2 linked regions of the Diceros bicornis minor genome follow. The protein of the gene in region 2 interacts with the protein of the main gene of each other region in a biochemical or structural test. Links are inferred from orthologs where the notes say so. Each region holds a gene or a part of one and is shown on either strand. Other genes may lie near its edges.

The links. The genes of interacting proteins can lie anywhere in the genome.
Region 1: the proteins of MAP3K11 (region 2) and MAPK8IP1 form a complex in vitro, tested with the Homo sapiens proteins (2 studies listed by BioGRID). The link is inferred for Diceros bicornis minor from reciprocal best matches to the Homo sapiens genes MAP3K11 and MAPK8IP1.

Annotation. Positions count from the first base shown.
Region 1 is NC_080770.1:24,293,008-24,302,845, forward strand, and holds the start of MAPK8IP1 (C-Jun-amino-terminal kinase-interacting protein 1), read right to left. Parts: upstream 4,429-9,838; 5' UTR 4,371-4,428; coding exon 4,270-4,370; intron 4,262-4,269; exon of another isoform or gene 3,923-4,261; intron 3,541-3,922; exon of another isoform or gene 1,317-3,540; intron 1-1,316. UniProt on the Homo sapiens protein: The JNK-interacting protein (JIP) group of scaffold proteins selectively mediates JNK signaling by aggregating specific components of the MAPK cascade to form a functional JNK signaling module. Required for JNK activation in response to excitotoxic stress.
Region 2 is NC_080770.1:7,592,317-7,602,402, reverse strand, and holds the start of MAP3K11 (mitogen-activated protein kinase kinase kinase 11), read right to left. Parts: upstream 4,239-10,086; 5' UTR 3,917-4,238; exon of another isoform or gene 3,821-3,916; intron 3,761-3,820; exon of another isoform or gene 3,133-3,760; 5' UTR 2,574-3,132; coding exon 1,835-2,573; intron 1-1,834. Other genes in the region: PCNX3 (pecanex-like protein 3), read left to right, coding at 4,759-4,911, 5,284-5,471, 5,704-5,803, 5,921-5,960, 6,065-6,160, 6,384-7,511, 8,014-8,137, 8,220-8,398 and 2 more. UniProt on the Homo sapiens protein: Activates the JUN N-terminal pathway. Required for serum-stimulated cell proliferation and for mitogen and cytokine activation of MAPK14 (p38), MAPK3 (ERK) and MAPK8 (JNK1) through phosphorylation and activation of MAP2K4/MKK4 and MAP2K7/MKK7.

The DNA of each region.
Region 1 (9,838 bases), about 17 Mb from region 2:
CAGGGCTGGCACTCCTCAGCCTGGTCCCTGGCCATCTCCCGTCACTCTGCTGTCTCTCTGGGTAGCAATGTTCCCTCTGAGGCTTCAATGGCTGTCTCTCTCTCTCTCTGAGATGAGACTCCCAGGGTCTCTGGCCCCAGGCCAATCCTCTCCTCTGAGCTCCAGACCCCAAGCCAACTGCCTGCTTGAGTCTTCCAGTTGGGTCTCCCAACCATCACCAGCCTCAGATTCAGCAGGTCTCCTAAAGATTTCACCGCCTTGCTCGCCAAACCTCTCATCTTCCACAGGGCACCCCATCCCCAGGGGGCATAGCGTCAGCCTGGACTCCTGTCTCTCCCCTATCTACCCCTTGCACCAGCTCCCTCACCAAGTGGGCTAACCAACCTCTAAATCTTCCTCACATCCTCCCCACCCCTCCTTCTCGCCAGCGGGATGGCCGGTCTCCCAGTGGTCTCCCTGCCTCCCCGTCCACTCTCTACCCAGCAGCCAGAGTGATCATCCCAAGATGGCATCCAAGGCTGTCGTTCCCTGCCTCCTAAACCCTTGCTGGTTCCCACTGCTTGTTCGTGGACAGGCCAGTGTCTCAACACGGCCTACGGGTTCCTGCCTGCCCGCCCTCCACTTGCCCCAGACCATGCTGCTTCACTTCTTCTCAAGCTGAGATGAACCCTTCCTGAGGCACAGGGCCTGGCTTCCCCCGGCCCCTCACCTGGGTCACCATCACACCTACCAGCCTGTCTTGTACGGCCTTGTCTGTCTGTCTCCCTCCTACACTGTCACCTGCATCATGGCCAGGCCCATGTCTGTGCCTCTGGAGTGTCTCTCTGTTGAGCCTGGCAAAGTGCATATATTTGTTGAGTGAATAAAGGAACAGCCAAGCGCGTACGACCTCATGAAGAGATGAATAAGGAGGTCCCTGCGCTCTTCAGTGACCTCATCTCTCATCCCTGAGGCGGTGTGGTAGGGTGCAGAGAACTCCATCCAGGGAGTTATGAGGCCCGGGTTCTGTCCCAGCTCTGCCACTGACTTGCTGTGTGTTCTCAGGGAAGCCACTCACTCTCTCTTGTCTTCTCCTAAGTAAAAGGGGAGGGGAGTAGTTTGGATGAGCTGATTTCTAAGGTCTCTCTCATCCCCAACTCCTCTTCCACACAGCCAGGGCAGGCTGCTCGCTTTACTTTCTGCGAGCATCCTTTGTCCCTCCCCCATGGACTGTCCCACTGTCCCTCCCTGTCGTCCCCCGTCCCAGCTCAATGTATTCATTGCATAAGTTTCTAAATCTCTTTTCTAGAGTTTTCCTTATAATGAACATGTATCACTTTAGTTTGGAATTTTCTTTTATTATTTTGTAAGTTACAGAATTAACCTATGCTTGTTATAGAAATAAGAAGTCAAATAATACAGAAGTATGTAAAACAAGTGAAAATCCCTCCCCTCATACCATATTCGGAGGGAACTACTAGTCACTGGTTGGCGCATTTCTATAATCAGAAACAAACACATATTTATTCAAACCAACTACCAACAGACGAACGCTCGACACCCCTCCAGCTCCACGCCTGGGTCACCCCTCCACAAAGTCTCCCCCAGTGTGCCAGGGCTCCCTCCTTTCAGCGTGGCTCTGAAATCAGATTGCCTGCGTTCCAACCCCAGCTCTGCCACTTCCCTAACCTCTTTATGCCTCAGTTTCTTCATCTGTAGAGTGGGGATAGTAATAACACTCTGTTTGTACGGTTCTGGTGAGGACTAAATGCTCTTGCACAGAAAGCACCGAGAGTGGTGCCTGGGGAAGAGACGGTCCCGAGGGCCAGTGCTTCCCACTGTTCTTCCCTGAGAGCAGGCCCTGCTACTCTCTGTACTCCAGGACACCAGCATCCGGGTTCCTCCCTCATTAAATAAGAAACCGCTAAGGCATTACCGAGCACCTACTCTGTGCCAGCCATTGGGCAAACCAAAGTTTAGGTGTTGACTTCTTATGCCTTTTGGAAGCTGACAGTGGTGCTGAGGGTACCCACACAATAATAACAACAATATTAAAAAAACAGCCCTGTATGAATGCAGCTTTCCACAGCCCTTGAAACACTCAACATGTGCCCTCTCATCCGAGTCTTAGGACTACCCTGAGCAGGTGCTAAAGCCGGCATCACGGAGAAGAAATAGGCTCAGAAGGTCAAGTGCCCAGTCTTGGTACATGGCTAAGAAGGCCGAGCCAGGACTCAAACCCAGCTGAGTCAGATCCACGACCCCACCAAAGAGCCACGAGAGAGCAGTAACCACCCTGGGTTAAACCAAGTTGGGCCCAGGGAAAGGGCAGCGGGGGCTGCCAGGGCAGGCGGGGTAGGTCACGTGGGGCTGGAGACACGGCCCTGATTATTCCCACAAGCTGGCCTTGTCCACGGCCAGGCCACGGTGTCCTGGAGGGCCGGCCCACACCACAGCCTTGGCGTACTGCCACCTGCGCCCACCAGGCCCAGGGCCAGATACACTCACTGGCTGGCATCTGCCACGTCAGCTCCTCTTGCTGACGTGTCCATGGTGACCTGACAGCCAGGGGCAGGGCTGGATGGAGTGCTCTGTCCTCTGTCACGTGGGGATGGGGGGGCAGGGTGGGCAAAGCTGCCCTCTGGGCCAGAAGCAGGGCCTGGAGGTAGAGTGGACTGAACACACACAGACTTGGGTTCCAGTCCAGCCTCAGGCTCTGACATCCTCGGGTTCCTCAGGCAAGTCCCCTGCTTTCTGAATCTCAGTCTCCTCATCTATAAAATGGGCAGACCGATACCCAGCCCAGGGTGGTTGTGAGAGTTAAATGAGCCAGCTCTGGGAAAACGCTTTGAATGGTAATGAGCTATATAAATGCCGGCTAACACGGGGGCTGACCCTGGTGGAGCACCGACTTGATATACATTAAGGAATCAATATTAATTAGCTTACCTAACAGATGGAACTCAGAGAGGACAAAATCACCCAGGTCATGCAACTAGAAAGTGGTGGAGCCAGGATTTGAACCCAGGTCCCTCTGAGCTCCATGCTTTTCCACTGCAGAGGGGCCTCCTGGTAGGAAGGCAGTGTGTATCATGTCAGGTGGAGTCAGTCTCAGACGTCAGCCTGGTACTCTGAGGCACTAACCACAAAGACCCCAGCCCTCCAGCCTTCAGGCTTGGCCTCCTCCATCTGGTCCCCTCCTTCTGGTCTTCCCGGCTCAGCTCAGAGCCTCGGGGAGATTTCTAGTCCTGATGATGCCATTAGAGATCCCCAGGGGCCCCTGCCCACCTGAGGGCCAGGGAGCCAGCAACCCCCTGGTCAGAAGAGGGGTAGGCGCCAGGGCCCAGCTGGGGCCTGGCTGGGGTGGGGGCCCCAGGAGAGGGGAAGGCGCCAGCTCATTAGATGGAGAGACAATGCGGTTCGTCTAGGCCTCCTTCTCCTAGGTACTGTAGCAGCTACACCCTCCTCTTCCTCCTCTCCAACTGGGGCCAGGATTATGGGGGAAGGACCTTCCCCCACAACATCCATTGTCCACTGCTCTGAAATCCACTTCCCAACGACCTAATATCAGAAAGGTTCAAGGAGGGGGGTAAAGGGGGAGCTCAGATCAGGGTCCTGGGTACTTACCCCAGCAGGGACCTGGCCCCCATGTTCCTCGCTACTCCGGGGCCATCCAAACCAGACTCCCCCTCCCACAGGGGGGCCTAGGATCTCCGGGTTGAGGCTGAGCCTTCCGCACCTGCACACACCTGACCAGGTCAGCGCTTGCCCAAATCCACAGAGGCTCCTGGGAGTTAGGCCCCTCTGGCCAGGCAGGGCTGGGGGAAGGGCCCACGACTCCCTTCTTCCAGCACCAAGAAACTGGGACCCGCGGGGCACCCCAGCCTGCTTCCATCTCTATTCAGAAGCCTTCGGACTGGCCACAGGCAAAGCCCCAGCCTACCTGCCTCCTCGGAGATCTCACTCCAGACCCCACCAGGCCCCGCCGCCGCCCCCAAGTGGGAAAGACGGCGGCCTCCGCGCCCCCTCCTCCAATTCCACCTCAGAATCTTCTAGCCTAGCACATGGAATGGCGGAGGGAGCTGCACCAGGGATACGCGGCGGCGATCAGTCTGGACTGGAGGCTGAGGGGGATTCTGGGGCCTCTGTCCGGGGAAGAGACCCCATCCCCACGCCGCCCTCCGGTTCCCGAGGTCTGGGGTGTGGGTGTCGGGGCCGGGGGGAGGGGAGCCGGGGCAGATCAGTCGGGGCCAAAGGGCGGGGCGCGGCGCGGCGGCCGGGGATTCTCACCTGAAATTGGGCGGCGACGCGATGTGCAGCCCCAGGAACGGGGAGGCGGCAGGCGGGGACGCGGCCCCCCCGCCCAGGCCGCCGCTCTCTCGCTCCGCCATTCTCCGGCACAGCCCTGGCCATCCGGGCGGAGCGCGGCGCGGAGGCGGCGGCGACGGCGGCGGCGGCGGGGAAGGAGGCGGGGTCGCGGCGAGAGGCCGCCGCCGCCGCGGGGCTCGGGCTGGGGCGGGCGCGGCAGGCGCACCTGCGCAGGGCAGGGCGCGGCTCGACCGCGCGCCGCTCTCGGCTCCGGCGCGAGCGCCTCCGCGCGCCCCGGGGCCCCGCCGTCTCTGCGCCCCGCCCCCGGCCCGCCCCCGGCCCGCGGGCCCCGCCCCGCCGGCGCTCTCCGAGGTGCTGAAGTCGCGGCTCCCGGGTTTGGCCCCGCCCCGCCCTCAGTCCCACACTGCTCCTCTGCCTCGTTTCCCCCTCCCGCAAAGCACTCCCCTCGGCCCCTCAGGGTGGGCCTAGAGCTTGGGTATCAGGTAACTACTGGCAGGATCCGGGTCCCCAGGGCCCTAGTTGGCCCCCCGCAGCAGACAAAGGTGGCACACAGGAAAGGAGGGTCATGGAGGAAGCCGAGAGTGTGTCAGGACAGGTCCTAGAGCAGACAGGTTTGGAGTCAGGTGGTGTGAAGTCACAGCCTGGCTCCCCAAGTGCATAGGTGGTGTGGCCTTGCACTAATGACTTAATAGTCCTGAGGTTGGTTTTCTCATCCGTGAAATGGGGACAATAATGGTCCCTCTCACATTTGTTGTGAGAATGAAACGTAAAATGTGTTGTCATCGGAGGCTGGGACACCCCACTTCCCTCTGGGATCCAGGTCTCACTCCATCTTGTCCCCTTACCTCGATGGGACCCTTCCAAGGACTCTCCCCTAGAGGGTCTCTTCTCTAAAGACTGAGCCAAGCCCCCCTTCAGCCTCAAACAGCTACTAATGGTGAACTGAGCCCCTCTTGGCTTGTCTCTCAGCTTCTCCCTCATGTAGGGACTTTCCCAGATTACTCCTTCTTCTCACTTAGCACCTCAGTTGCATTTCCTGAAAAGCACCCCTCTTTTGCACCCACAGACACCCCATAGCTGGCTTCTTACATTCTAAGACTTGGGACCTTTCCTCCTGCCCCCACAGTTGACTTCTTGGGATTCTTTGTGTGTGCGTGTGTGTGTGAGGAAGATCAGCCCTGAGCTAACATCCATGCTAATCCTCCTCTTTTTGCTGAGGAAGACCGGCTCTGAGCTAACATCTATTGCCAATCCTCTTCCTCTTTTTCCCCAAAGCCCCAGTAGATAGTTGTATGTCATAGCTGCACATCCCTCTAGTTGCTGTATGTGGCACACCACCTCAGCATGGCCGGAGAAGCGGTGCGTGGGTGCACACCCGGGATCCGAACCCAGGCCACCAGCAGCGGAGCGCGCGCACTTAACCGCTAAGCCACAGGGCTGGCCCCAGACTTCTTGGGATTCTTTTGGTGGTTTTTCTGTTTCCTCCAGCACCTCTGCCCGTGCTAGGTGTGGGCCATGGTTTCCTCTTGATCTTCTCTCCCCTCAGAGGGTTCAGCTTGTGAGTTTTTCAGAGTGTGGACTGCTAGACATTCAGGCTGTTGGCCAAGGCCAGGGCCCCAGCTTTGGTGGCTCCTAGAGTCTCTGGCCAAACCTCACTGGCTTCTCTGGCCACCTGACAGAACCGCAGAGGCCCTGTCCTTCACCTCTCTCTCTGAAGAAGGGGCAGAGTAAACAGTTTCACAGCTTGTAGAATCCTATTTGCAAATCTCAACTGCCAACTGGTCACGCCAGCCCCCTTTTCTTTCAATGTAGCACCCAGGGAGCAGCTGCAGGCACCTGTCCTGCAGTAAACAGCCCCCCAGCTCCAGCCCTGAGAACAGCCCAGTACCTAGAGCCAAAGGCCTTGGCCGCCTCTCTTCTTTCTGCCCCTGGGCCCAGACGGGTGGCCATTTTATCTTTCCTGCTGTCTTGGCTCAGGCTCCCTTCACTAGGCCCAAACAGTAGCCATCTGCTGCTATGGTGCCTGGCTTTTCCTCCCAGGAAAGCAGTTTTGTCACAGTGGCTAATCACTGTTCCTTAGAATGTGTGCTTGTCTCAACTAGGGAGCATCCTCAGGAGCTCAGGAGTGTGTGTGTAGGACAACTCTATCTTCCAGAACCTTTTGCTCAAGAACAAAGGTGTCTTAGCTCCCACAGCCAAGCCAAAATCACATTAGAGAGAAGCCAGGAGAAGGGAGAGGGAAGGTTAGGCCCAGGTCTTGGTGGAAAGGGGGCCAGCAGAAGCTTCAAAGCAGGGTGAAAAAGGAGATGAGTCCCAGGCTCGAGTTCCTCTTCCCTTTCTCACTCTGTGCAGGGCAGCCTGTGATATTCTTGGGTCTTACCTGAGCCCCTTCCCACAGGAAGCTGGGGTGTGGGCTAACAAAGCTCTCACTCCCAGTGGTCCAAGGCTAGAAACCCCTACAGGAAAGCCCATGCACACTGCAGAGGGGCCACTCTCTGGCCAGATGGCATGAGAGAAAGCCAGCATCCAGGACCTCGGCTTGGCTATGGGCAGGTCTCGACCACCTACCAGAGCCAGAGGGCTTGTACTCCCTCCACTCACACACACACAGCTGCAGCTTACCTGGCTGAGCTGAGGCAAGGATGGATTGAGGGCCTGGAGAGCCCTGCCACTGATCCCCAGCCTGGGGGGTCTAAGTGGGCGGAGAGGCCGGGTCAGCACAGGACAGCCATCAGGAACCCCACCCTGGGCCAGGGTGCTGTGTACCACTTTGGCTGATGGACCCCCACTCTGACCAAGCTCTGGAGCTGCCTCTGGTCTGCTGCAGTTGCTCATGTAGGAGCCTCCCATTTCATCTCCCCCCTTCCCCCTCCTCGCCACCTCCAAGGAAGGGTGAGAGGCTCCTGGGTCCAGCAGAACCCAGGTGTCCTAGCCTAAGGCTTACTGTGGCTCAGCCTTACTGACTCCCAGTCCCCAGCCCTCCCACAAGACTGACGACAGCACAGCTTTGCTCAGACAGGGTGAGACATTTATGAAACAAGTGACTATTCAAACAAACTGTGGGAGAAACACACCTTCCCAGCAATAGAAAATCTCTGTATAAAGTGCATTTTGCCTGCGACCATCTCTTCCCCATGCTGGCCCTTGGGTCGGGATCTGGGGCAATGCTTTGTGGCAGCCCTTAGGGATACCTGGGCCAGGAGAGGGGAGGCACCAAGCCATTGTGGAGGTCCAGGCCACTGGATGTACTCTCTCCTCACACGGCCCCTCCCAGCTCTGGGAGCAGATTTTTCCATTCCACGGGGAATGGACCAGCATGCCAGGGGTGGTGCACAAGTAGGGGGAGGTGGTCCTGCCAACTTGTACCTTAGGGAAGAGAGCCATCATCGGATAGGCAGGAAAAGGGAATCATCCTGATATTTGAAGGTACTGTTAATAAATACTGACTCTGGCCCTAAGCTCTCTGCCCTTCTGTTTCTCAAACCAGGCCTTCCAGGCTCGCTCTACTCTTCTGGCAACAGCCCCCGATTCTCTTTCCTCCTGCCTGGGGCTAAGGGAACAGGGCAGCCCCCAACCCAAGGCTGCAAATACACATCATCACCCGTGCCCTGCTCCCCCGACACGATCACGGGACGTTCCTAGTGAGGGTGACATACATACAACAGTTGGACTCTAAAGGCAGCTCTCTGGCTGAGAAAACCTGAGGACATCTCAGGAAGAAGCCTGTCAGTGTGCTGGACAGATGCAGGAGACAGGGGCCTGACCCCAGGTTCTGGTCCGAGGACAGAGGACAGTGAGGGACAGGGCTGGGGCCCAGGCAGTTAACAGCTGTGAGGCTAGGAAAGGCCACAGGGGAGGTAGAGAAGAGAAGGCCCAGAGGCCAGCTTAATGTTACACGTGAGGACAAAATCCAAAGAGGAATTAGCCTCTCGGCTAGGTGCGCACCTGTACGTACACACACACACACACACACACACACACACACACACACACACACGCGCACACACACACGCATGCGCACACACACACACACACTTGTGGCTCAAGTGCAGGCCATAACATGGAAGGAAGACTTGCTGCAGCTGACCCCACAGTCCTCTCTTCATTACACCTTTCTCAACACAGGCCTCCAACAGTGGAAGGGCTGAGGCGGGAGGCACAGGCCACTCCTGGAATGCAAAGCCTTGGCTTCTCTGGGTGAAACCTCCCACCTGCTGCTTCTGGAAGGGTTGGCGCGCTGGGTGGGATCTCTACTTGGACCTTTCCCAACTGTCCCTGGCAGTCCCCACCCGCATCCACCTGCCTGGGGACTTGGTGTCCAGCTACTGGGAGAGCTGATGTGGCAGCTTGGATGCTGACCAGTTCCAGGCAGGCCCTGGAAGCCTACAGAACAGACTAGAATGGCTTCCCTGGCTGGGAGTCAGCTGACCTCAACGGCAGCACTACGGTGCCCTGGAGTGTGGCCAGAGGAGCCAGGGGTCTTTCTACCACCAGGAACCTGGCCTCCTCCTGGAGGACGCACCGAGTCCCCACAGTCAGCTCAGAGGCTAGCCCTCAGCTTCTGGGGAAGGAACAGTGAGAGCTGGGATTCTATTTCCAAACTCAGGTTTTCAGCCCCAAAATGGTAGATGTATTTCTTGGGCTACCATCTATAGTACCGTGCATACGGCACACCGGTCAGGTGTCTGGTGTACTTCTGTATGATGGTGGAAAGTTTCAGATCTGTCTACAGCCTCGTGCTCAGTCCCAGATGCCCGAGGAAGGGTCTGGAGGACCCAGTGGCGGGGAATTTTAAAATAAGAAAGAAGCCAGGCCAGGTGGCTATGTCTGAACAGCATCAGTCCACTCCAGCCTCCAGGGTCAGAAGCAGGAACTCAGCACGACTCCGGCTGCCTCTAGAATCCCACACTCTGGACAAGAGCCAGAAATGTTGTCCTCCTGCTCCCCAGTCCGATGTGAAGAGGGAGCGAGTGCTGGGGGGCAGATGCCAGAATCCCAGCTAGAGTCCTACCGCTCTTCTATTCAGACAGGGCAGCTGGCTGGCAGCGACAGGTCTGGGCTGAAAGTCACTGCCATGACCTCTAGCCTGGTGTCTGGAGGCTGAGGTGAAGCTGCTACAGGGACTCCTCCGGCCCGGGCAGCGTTCAGAGTCACAAGAGTGTAAACGGATGCATGCACACGCAAACAGGCACAGCACTCCCTCCTCTGCACACGCGCACACACGCACACAGGTTCGCTCCATCTCTGTCGTGATGGCGATCAGCTTTTCTGCAGGTTGCACTCTGCTGCCACGGCGGCTGCTCGGGCACCCAGGCTTTGCTCGTGGAGCCACGGCGCTGCTGCTGAAAGAGACAAGCGAGTACAACAAGGAACGTTCAGGAGGCTACTCAGGTGCCCAGGGACACAAGCTCCTCTGGCTGCTTCTCTGGGGACACTCAGACTGGGAACTGGGAAGAGCCAGTACTGTGCACGGGCCACAGTACCCGGGGACAGGCTGGTTGCCAGGACGCCACCGGGTGCCTGCACACTG
Region 2 (10,086 bases):
GGTCCCTACTTCTCCTTTCTGGGAGGCCTGGGCCAGGTCTCCAACTGGGGGGGGGGCCTTTGGGGGGAGAATTGAGGGAGGTCAGGCCCAGGCCGGGCTGGCTGGTCAGTCCTGTGACTCGTGGGCCTGGAGAATTCCCCCTCCTCTCCCCACCAGGCTTCCTCACAAGGCCCCCATTGTCCAGGAAAATCACGCCATTGTTTCCTGCCTGCGCCCCCCCAGCCCAGGGACTCCCCCCACCAATCCCGCAGACGGCACCCGGGGCCTAGGACTGGGGTCTGCGAGGTGGGAGGCCAGGCTTAGGGGGGCTGAGGGCACCTTGCCTGCCCTTCACCACCAGCCAGACTCTGGGAGGGAAGCAGGGGAACTGGGGGGAGTGGGGGTGCAATCCCTGGCTCCTTCCTCTCCTACAAACCCCCCACCCCCAGCTCTTTCCTCCCCTGCAGGCAGCTGGGCTGGGGAGGGAGCAGAGGCTGGAGCAGGGGCAGGAAGCCGGCTCAGGGGCAGCAGGAAACGCAGGAAGCAGTGGGGAGGGTGGGGAGCAGGGCCCTGGGCTATTGTTCCATTTTCTCTGGAAAGAAAACTAGAGGAAAAACAGAAGACGGAGTCCCCTCCCCCCTGGGCCTTCGGGGAATCCCCCTCAGGCTGGGGCAGGGAGTGGGGGTCCCTAGACGGCTAGGGCCCAGGAGTGAGGCTGAGGCTGGAAACTGTCCCTTACTGTGGGTGAGAGGAGTGAGTGGGTGGCTGGCAGGCCTCCCTCGGCCCCTCCAGCCCTAACATTGATGTGGATGGCATTGGGTCCTGGTGTTCTGCTCCCCCCAGCCCCTTGTCCACAGATAGCCCAGGCTAGGAGGCTCAAAATATCCATGCTCACCCCTCCAAGAGCCACCCATGCCTCTCCTATAACCCCACTGGCCCCTCTTGCACTTACTTTTGCTCTATCGCCTGCACCCTGGGCCCCAGCAGGCCCAGCCCGTGTCCCCACTGCTGTGCTGGGGCCTGCCTCCTCGCCTTCGCCCTTGTCAGGCCCTGCCAACAACTGGGGGCCTCTCTGAACACTGCCTGCTTTTGGCCTGGTACGAAGCTTGCCTGCTACAGGAAGCCCTCTGAACCTGTCCCTCGCTTGTCTCGGGCCCATGCTGGGCAGCTGCACGGCCTGAAATGGCGGGAGATGGAGTGCCTGGCTGCTCCAGTCTCCTTCAGCCCCGCCACGCCCACCCCAAGTGCTGATGCCAGGTGAGGCCCTTTTGGTGATCCAGCCCTCAGATGTCCACACCCATAGCTGAAGACCCACTGCGTGCCAGGCATCGGATGCCAGGGCTTGCCTAGTCCATTAAGCCACTTCACCCTCCCAGTCACTCCCTTTTCACAGTCTGAAATTGAGGCTCTCAGTTGAAATAACCAGCTAGAGGTCATGCACCCAGGGGAGGGGTGGGGCCAGAATTCTAGCCCTGGCCCCAGCTTTGACCACCACGGGGGGCTGTCCCCTCTGAGACGTCTGTTCCAGAGAAGCTGCCCACCACAGGTGGAGGGGAGAGCAGGGCACCAACAGCACAAGTGTGAACGGCAGGGGAGGGGAGATGAAGAATGCCAGCACCCAGCGTTCTACTTCCTTGAGGTGGTGGCCATGGCAAGGCAGGATGCTTATGGCCCCTCTGAGAGATCCCAACTTTCTAACTTGGCAGCTGTAAGCTGAGGTCAAGGACTCCTCCTGGGGCTGGGGCACAAAGGACCCTCACAAAGGCAAGAGCTCAGCTCAGGTGGGCTCAGCTGAGTTGGCAGTAGGTGTGTGCCTGGGCCATACCACCCTCCAACCACACTCCCCAAAACTCACTGTTGTTGGACTTGAGGTCTCGGTGGATGACAGGCACCAGGGCCTCGCAGTGCAGGTAGTGCATCCCACGGGCAATTTGCACGGCCCAGTTGACCAGCACGTGGGGGGGCACACGCCGCCCTGCCAGGGCACGGCTGAGGGGCCCACCGGCCGCGTACTCCATCACCAGGCACAGGTTGGGCTCCTCCAAGCACACGGCCTTGAGGGCGATGATGTTGGGGTGTGCCAGCATGGCGAAAAGCCGGGCCTCCTGGCGCACACTCTCAGCTGTCACACTGATGTCCTCATCGGGGTCCTGACGAGCTGCCTTCACAGCCACCAGCTCACCTCGCCAGCTGCCGCGGTAGACCTTGCCGAAGCCACCGATGCCGATCACCTCCTCCAGGCGCAGCTCCTGGAAGCTGGCCACCTCGCAGGGGGGCGGGCCGCCGCCCCGAGACACATAGTTGGATGGAAAGATGCCCACCTGGCCGCCCACCTGGCCCGCCCACCAGCCCTCATCGCCTGAGATAGCTGCATCCCGGGATAGCACCTCCACACGGTCGCCTTTCCGCAGGGCCAGCTCGTCCTGCCCACTGGGCTCATAGTCGAACAGGGCTGTCCACACAGGGTTGGCATAAGCCGCTGCCTTTGGGGACCCCTCCGGCCAGCCTCCACCGCCACCCCCACCACCCCCACTGCCACTGCTGTTCCATGACCCCAGCGGGCTCTTGAGGAAGAGGTTCTTCAAGGGCTCCATGGCTGGGAGCCGGCGTTGGGGCGTGTGGGGGACCTTCCCTGGGTGTCCCTGGTCCCCACCCCTGCTGGCTGCCAAGGCCCTAGTCCCGGAACCTGGGCATCCGGGCCCTGGCCCTCAGCCCCAGACCCACGCCTCTCTGGGGAACCAGGAGTGTCGCTTCCTGGCCCCCCGCATCTCGCGCTTCTAGGGGAGAGCGACCCAGGGCAGTGTAGTCAGGCTCCCGGGGTAGGACCCGGGGGCCTCCGGCGTCTCACCATGGCCGGCTCGGAGGGACCCGGGCGTCCCTCAGTTCTGGAGCAGTCCTGGGAGCCTGTCTCCTGCACCCACCAAATGTAAGCTGCAGCCAGCGAGGGGCAGCGCCTGGACTCCGCTTGGGTCTTTTTGCGCAGGAGGTGGCTGGAGTGTTCCTAGTTGGGCCGAGCTGCCTCTTCCCGGCCGGCTCCCGCAGCCCAACGGCTCCAACCCAGTTCCCTTCTTCCTCCTCCCTTTGTACTTTGGCCCCGGGGGCGGGAGGCAGAGGTGGAGGGTGGAGTTTCACTTTTTTCCGCTCTTCTCCCTCCTGCAGGAAACAGCATCAGATGACGCGGGCGGGTCGCACCGCTCCCCTCCCAGAGGCTGCAGGCAGCTGGGCCGGGGAGTTCCCGGGTAGGCAGGCGTAGAGGGGCAGAACGAGGGGAAGGGTAGGCCCGACGCCCCATCACGGCAGGTTTAGGGTCAAGGTTGGTCTCTGCTAAGGACGGGCCATCCCCGCCCTCTACATCCGCATCAGCAAAATGGGGTCAAGAACCTGGTTTGGGAGTGGGGCAAACTTGAGTCTGCTCTTGGCTACGAAGTTGCAGGACTGTGTGCCCCATCCTCTCTGCGCCTCATGCTCTTCATATCTGAAATACGGACCAGAAGCTCCGCTTTGCACAGCTAGTGGGATGGGGGAAGGGCAGATGCGAGGAGGAAGAAACTGGCTGCACCTCAAGCTCTTGGAAGGGGTTGTCTAAGGCTCTCCTCACTTGGGAAACAATCCACTTCTTCATGACCCTTCCCCAGTGGGCAGAAACCTGAGACTGTTGTCCCGAAATCTGCCCAGTGATTGGATTCAGAATAGCTAAGTCGCCCTCACAACCGCTGGTTTAGCCCCAAGCGCCTTGAGCCTGTCACTTTAAGAAAAACGACGCTATCCTATTTCGACTATTCCTGCCTGTTCTGGAGGGTCTCTCCCCCCCGCCCGCCCCACTCTAGGTCGGAGTTCTGACCCGGAAGTAGAGGCCCCTCGGGCCGAGAGACGCTCATGACGTTTGAGGTCCAGCACAAGAGGGGTGTGCTTCCAGAGCGCAGAACTCTCGCCGTACCCTGGGGAGTCCACGCCTCCATCCTTTTCCCCGCCTCCTGTAAATCACCAGGAGAGCTTTACGCCAACTAACGCCGCCGTTAACCAATGGCCACCCAACTATCCCTTCGGTTTCGCCCAGTGGTCTCTGCTAGGTTGGCTCGGCTTAGGTGTGCGCATGCGCCCAAGGCCTTCCACCTTTGCATCGTCTTTCCCCTCAGACCTAGACTTTGCGCACGCACACCCGGCTCCGCCGTTTTTTATGGCTCCACCACCTCCCTGCGCTTGCGCATTCATGCCGTCCGGTTTTCCTTTTCCGGGTCCCAACTGGGCCCGTCGTGCGCATGCGCCATTGCAGGCTGGCGGCTCGCGGCTCCTTCCGGCCTCCCCCTCGGGCCGGCTCCCGCAGAAGCGGGGCGAACGCGGAGCCCGAAGCAAGTGACCTGTGACCCCGGAAGTGGACCTCAGGGTCTCCGGGCTCTCCTGGGGCCGGAGCCGTCGCCTGCACCCCAGGAGCACCCGCCCCACGCCCACCTCTGGATGCCGCCGACTGGTGCCCGGCCCGTGCCCCGCGCCTGCCTGCCGGCTCGGCCCCTCGGAGCAGTTCTGGGCCGGCGGTGGGGGCCCAGACCCCGCCCCTGATGCGGCTCCACCCCCGCAGCCGAGCCTCGCACGGTTGACCGTCTCGGCTAGCCCCGCCCCCTGCCCGCACCTTCCCCGGGCGACCCCTCTCCCCCGCTGGGGGAGGCCATGGCGTGAGCGCGAGGCCGGGCCCCGGGGCCCTCGGGCGCCAGGCGGGGCATGGGCCGGGGGCCGCCCCCATGAGGGTCCCGGGAGGGGGGCGCGCGCAGCAGCGGCGGGGCCATGGGGTCGCAGGTATTGCAGATCCTGCGCCAGGGGGTGTGGGCCTCTCTCACCGGCGGTTGGTTTTTCGACCCGCACCAGAGCACCTTCTCCAACTGCTTCCATCTCTATGTCTGGATCTTCCTGCTCACCTTTCCCTTCTTGCTGTACATGGTGAGATGCTGCCGCCACCTGTAAATCCCGCCTGGGAAAGGGAGGGCAGATGTCACAGCGGGTTGACTACCTGGTACGGATTTGGGGCTGTGCTTTGGGCGCTGGCGTGTGGAGAGAGGAATCTGCAGAGTTTGGAGTGTGTGGAGGAGAGGCCAAATGCATCCCTTCTTGGGCTGGGTGACCTTGAGCCCCTCACTTAATCTCTCTCTCCAGTCGGAAGATAGAGATCCGTAACAGGATTTTTGTACTGGTGCCAAGGAGGGATGATGAAATTTTCTTGTGAATTTGTGAATCCTAGCCATAACTGGTGGTAGGTCCAGCCCATGGGGGTAGGGCTGTGTGAGGAAGGACCTGACTTGCTGTCACCTCCAGGTCCTGCCCCCCAGTTTGATGGTGGCCGGCGTGTACTGCCTTGTGGTGGCTGTCATCTTTGCTACCATCAAGACTGTGAACTATCGGCTGCACGCTATGTTCGACCAGGGCGAAATTGTGGAGAAGCGCAACTCTACCATGGGAGAGCCGGAGGAAGAGCCCGCCCAGGGGGACAGCAGTCTGCCCAGGTGGGTGGGGCAGTGGCTGTTTGGGAATTGAGGGGTCTTGGTGTCTGGGCCTGAGCATTGGAGGATGGAGGAGGGGCTTAGGGAACCTTGGCTCTTTGAGCTATCGAGCACTACGTGTGTAAGGGGACTTTTAAGGGCACCATTGAGAAGGGAGGAATGATGGGGATGGGGGAGGAAGTACCGTATAAAGAGGGGAGGTTAGCTCAAAGTTCATGCTTTTCTCCACTGCTAGGGACCCTGGAGTGGAGATGACAGTGTTTCGGAAAGTGAGTTCCACACCCCCAGTGCGCTGTAGCTCCCAGCATTCTGTGTTTGGCTTCAACCAGGTTTCGGTGAGTGGTCCCAGCCCTCAGCCTCTCGCACTCTTGGGAGCTCGTCCCCACTGTGGGTGTGTCCTGAGCCTACTCTTTGCCCTGTTTGCTCCTTCACGGCTCTCTCTGCCTGCTCAGGAGTTGCTGCCCCGAATGGAGGACTCTGGACTCCTCAGAGGTAGGTGGTTGCTGCTCAGAGCTCAAGGTGGTGGTGGTATGGAAGAGGGGATGGCGTGCGGATGCCTCGAGGTCCTGCTGACGGCTCTGGGGCCGTGGTTGCAGACATCAAGGAGCTGGTGCGGGAGCAGGGCAGCAACAATGTGATCGTGACTTCAGCCGACCGAGAGATGCTGAAGTTAAGTTCACAGGAGAAACTGAGTGAGTGCGATATGGCAGGGGCTTTGGGGGAAGACTAGCCATCTTGTCTCTGTCACCCCAGGTTTTGCTCCCTGGGGCCTCTCTGTGTCCTCCTGGATGGGGCCGCCTCAGTGTCCTGTCCCACCTGGGCTCTTGGAAAGGAGAGGCCGTGGGAACCGCTTAGCCACCCGTTCCTTTTGTAGCATGCCTTTTTGTCATTTGCTGTCTTTTTTCTTTTTGATAGTTGGAGACCTTCCCCAGACGCCCCCGGGAGCTGCCCCAGACCCCTCTCTCCCCAGCACGGACTCTTCAGAACGTTCTCCCCTGGCTGGAGATGGAGCCCCCTGGAGTGGGAGCAGTGTGGCTGACACTCCCATGAGCCCCCTGCTGAAGGGGAGCCTCAGCCAGGAGCTGAGCAAGAGCTTTCTGACCCTGACCCGGCCTGACCGGGCCCTGGTGAGGACCAGCAGTCGACGGGAACAACGCCGGGGAGCAGGCGGCTACCAGCCCCTGGACCGGCGGGGCTCGGGGGAGCCCATGCCCCAGAAAGCTGGCTCCTCAGATTCCTGCTTCAGTGGCACTGACAGGGAGACGCTGAGCAGCTTCAAGAGTGAGAAGACCAACTCGACCCACCTGGACAGCCCCCCCGGTGGGCAGGCGCCTGAGGGCAGTGACACAGACCCACCTTCTGAGGCTGAGCTGCCCGCCTCACCAGATGCTGGAGTCCCCTCAGATGACACGCTGCGTTCCTTTGACACAGTCATAGGAGCAGGGACACCTCCGGGCCTGGCTGAGCCACTCCTGGTCGTGCGGCCCAAGGACTTGGCCCTGCTGCGGCCTGGCAAACGGCGGCCGCCCATGCGAAGACACTCCCCACCTGGCCGTGCCCCTCGGCGGCCCCTGCTTGAAGGTGGGGGTTTCTTTGAGGATGAAGACACCAGCGAGGGCAGTGAACTGAGCCCGGCCTCCAGTCTCCGATCTCAGCGCCGCTATAGTACTGACAGCTCCTCTTCTACTTCCTGCTACTCCCCCGAGAGCTCCCGGGGTGCAGCAGGGGGAGCCCGGAAGCGACGGGCCCCCCACGGGGCTGAGGAGGGGACTGCTGTGCCCCCAAAGCGGCCCTATGGGACCCAGCGGACGCCTAGTACTGCCAGCGCCAAAACGCATGCCCGTGTGCTGAGCATGGATGGGGCAGCGGGTGATGTTCTGAGGGCCCCCCTGGCTGGCTCCAAGGCTGAGCTGGAGGCCCAGGCAGGGGTGGAGCTGGCTGCTGGTGAGCCTGCTCTGCTGCCCGCTGAGGCCCGGAGGGGACCTGCTGCCAACCAGCCCGGCTGGCGGGGGGAGCTGCAGGAGGAAGGTGCTGTGGGGGGAGGTGAGTGCCAGCTCCAGGGCTGGGGTGAGGAGGCGAGCCAGATAGGGGCTTGGGTTTGGGTGAGGGACAGGCTGGAGTGCATCTGGTCACCGTCAGCTCAGCCTCTGTGTCGGAGAACAGACAGTTGTAGATGCAGCGATTGAGTGGCATCTGCCAAACCTCTCAGATAAGCAGGGCTCCAACGATGGGGAGACCGAGGCAGAAAGACCTCAGACACCTGGCTCCAGGTCCTGCAGTTAGTGCGAAGTCTCTGCCCTTTGAGGACTACCTGCATCCACATTCATTTTTCTGGGCCACCACTGGGGTGGGGGAGGTCACGTCCTCATTTCCAAATGTGGAAACTGAGGCACAAGTAGTTAGGTGACCCGGCTGGACCCTAGAGGCAGGGCACAGTTGGACTATGGGCAGGCCTGGCCTTTGGCTCCATGTAGGAGCATTTGCTCCCCGCTCTCAGGGTGTATTTAAGCCTCTGTCACTCATGATTGGGGGTCTCTCTGGGCAGCGGCTGAGGAGACTGGCAAACGGGAGTGCTTGAGCGGTGTGAGGCGGACCCAGGCCATCCGGAGGCGCCACAATGCAGGCAGCAACCCCACCCCTCCAGCCTCCGTCATGGGCTCGCCACCCAGGTGAGCACCTGCTGGCTAGAGAGGCACGGTGGGGGCCGGCTGGCTCTTAGCAGTGCTGACCCATAGGCTGACCCCTCCCCAGCAGCCTGCAGGAGGCTCAGCGCGGCCGGGCTGCCTCCCACTCCCGCGCGCTGACGCTGCCTTCTGCCCTGCACTTCGCCTCCTCGCTGCTGCTCACCCGGGCCGGCGCCAACGTCCACGAGGCCTGCACCTTTGATGACACCTCTGAGGGCGCCGTGCACTACTTCTACGATGAGAGTGGTGAGCCCCTGCCAAGCCTCTGACCCTGGCTGGCCCAGCGCCCCCTTTCTCTTCCGCTGAGGGTCTTTGTCATCTCAGCGGCAGTGCTCGCTCTGTTGAGTGCATACTTCAGCCCCGTGGTGAGGTGTGAGTAGCCTCATCATTGCTGCTCTGCTGTTGAGGAAACTGAGGCACAGGCTGAGCGAGTGGTAGAATGGGGATCCAAACCCAGGATGGGCAGAGTGCAGGGCCCGGCCCTTAACCTACGGACCCACTCCTCTCCAGCTCTTGGTCCCCAGGGGCTGGGCTGCCATTCAGGGGGACACAGCACAGGGTTTTTCCTCATTCGATGGCCTTGGGTTGGGCCCTGGTGCTCCTGTTGCTCATGTGCTGTCTTGTGTCCCACACCCCTGCCCAAGGCGTGCGGCGTTCCTACACCTTTGGCCTGGCTGGAGGCGGCTACGAGAACCCTGTAGGGCAGCAGGGGGAACAGGCAGCCAATGGAGCCTGGTGAGTCTCCCAAAAGAGGCTCTCCCAGGCCAGCAGCCTGGTGGACTGCCATTTCTGAGGATTGTCTCTTTCCTTCGCTGGGCTGGGGCAGGGGCAGCTCAGAATCTCTAGGAGTAGAGGAGGGTGGGGAGCAGTGAAGGGCGGGCCTGTAGGGATCCCTTGATGCTGTCAGGACACAATATTTCAAGCAGAAGGCTTCCAGGGCCCTCTAGGAAGCCCAGGACCTGGGAGGAGGGCACTTCTGCCGCCTGCCTATTCTGCACCCCCCTGTGCTGCTTCTGGTGTATCTGAGTCCCCTGGAGCCCCCAGTCATGGCCGTGCCTCGGGCTCAACCCCACCCCATTCCAGGGCACACCAGTGGTCCCCACCCTCATGGCTGTCGTTCCCACAGGGACCGCCACTCGCATTCCTCCAGCTTCCACTCGGCTGATGTCCCTGAGGCGGCGGGTGGCCTCAACCTGCTGCAGCCGAGGCCTGTGGTTCTGCAGGGCATGCAGGTGCGCCGAGTGCCCCTGGAGATCCCAGAGGTGAGGAGCCAGAGGCTGGGGAAGGACCTGCAGGAGGGGGGCAGTGGTGGGGAGCAGATCACTGAGCACTTGCCCAGGTACCGGGATTGACAGGCCTCTCTGAGTGAGGGCTCTCGGGCCCCTAAGGTGCCTGTCCTGACCTTTGATGGCTCGCACAGGGTGTGCAGGCTGTGGATCTGAGTGGCTCAAGAGGTCCCTTATTTGCTTATGTAACTAACATGTTTGGAGTATCTTTTTTATTTTGGGGGGCCACAGTTAGTGAGATGATGGATGTCAGCAATGATATCTGCAGAAGGCGCCGTAAAACTTAACCAGACATGACTGTGCTGCTCCTTGTGCCGGGTACCTGATGTGGGGATAGCTCAGGGCGCTCTGCTCACGATTGTCATCTCAGCAGAGTTATTCATCGTGCCCCCTTGCACTCCTAAAAGTACTTTAATTTGGATGTAACTTATGCTGTCAGCTTAGTAATAACAGAAGTACTGAGAATGCATAGAACAGACTCAAGAGTTTAAAAAACAGTCATACAAGGAGCACCCATGCATCTAACACCCATAGCCACAAACAGCCCCATGAGCGGCACCCAGAAGCCCCACTTGCCCCTGCCTGATACGTTGATTTTCCTTAACCATCATATGGGTTAGGCATTGTCCTGTTACAGCTGAGGGCCAC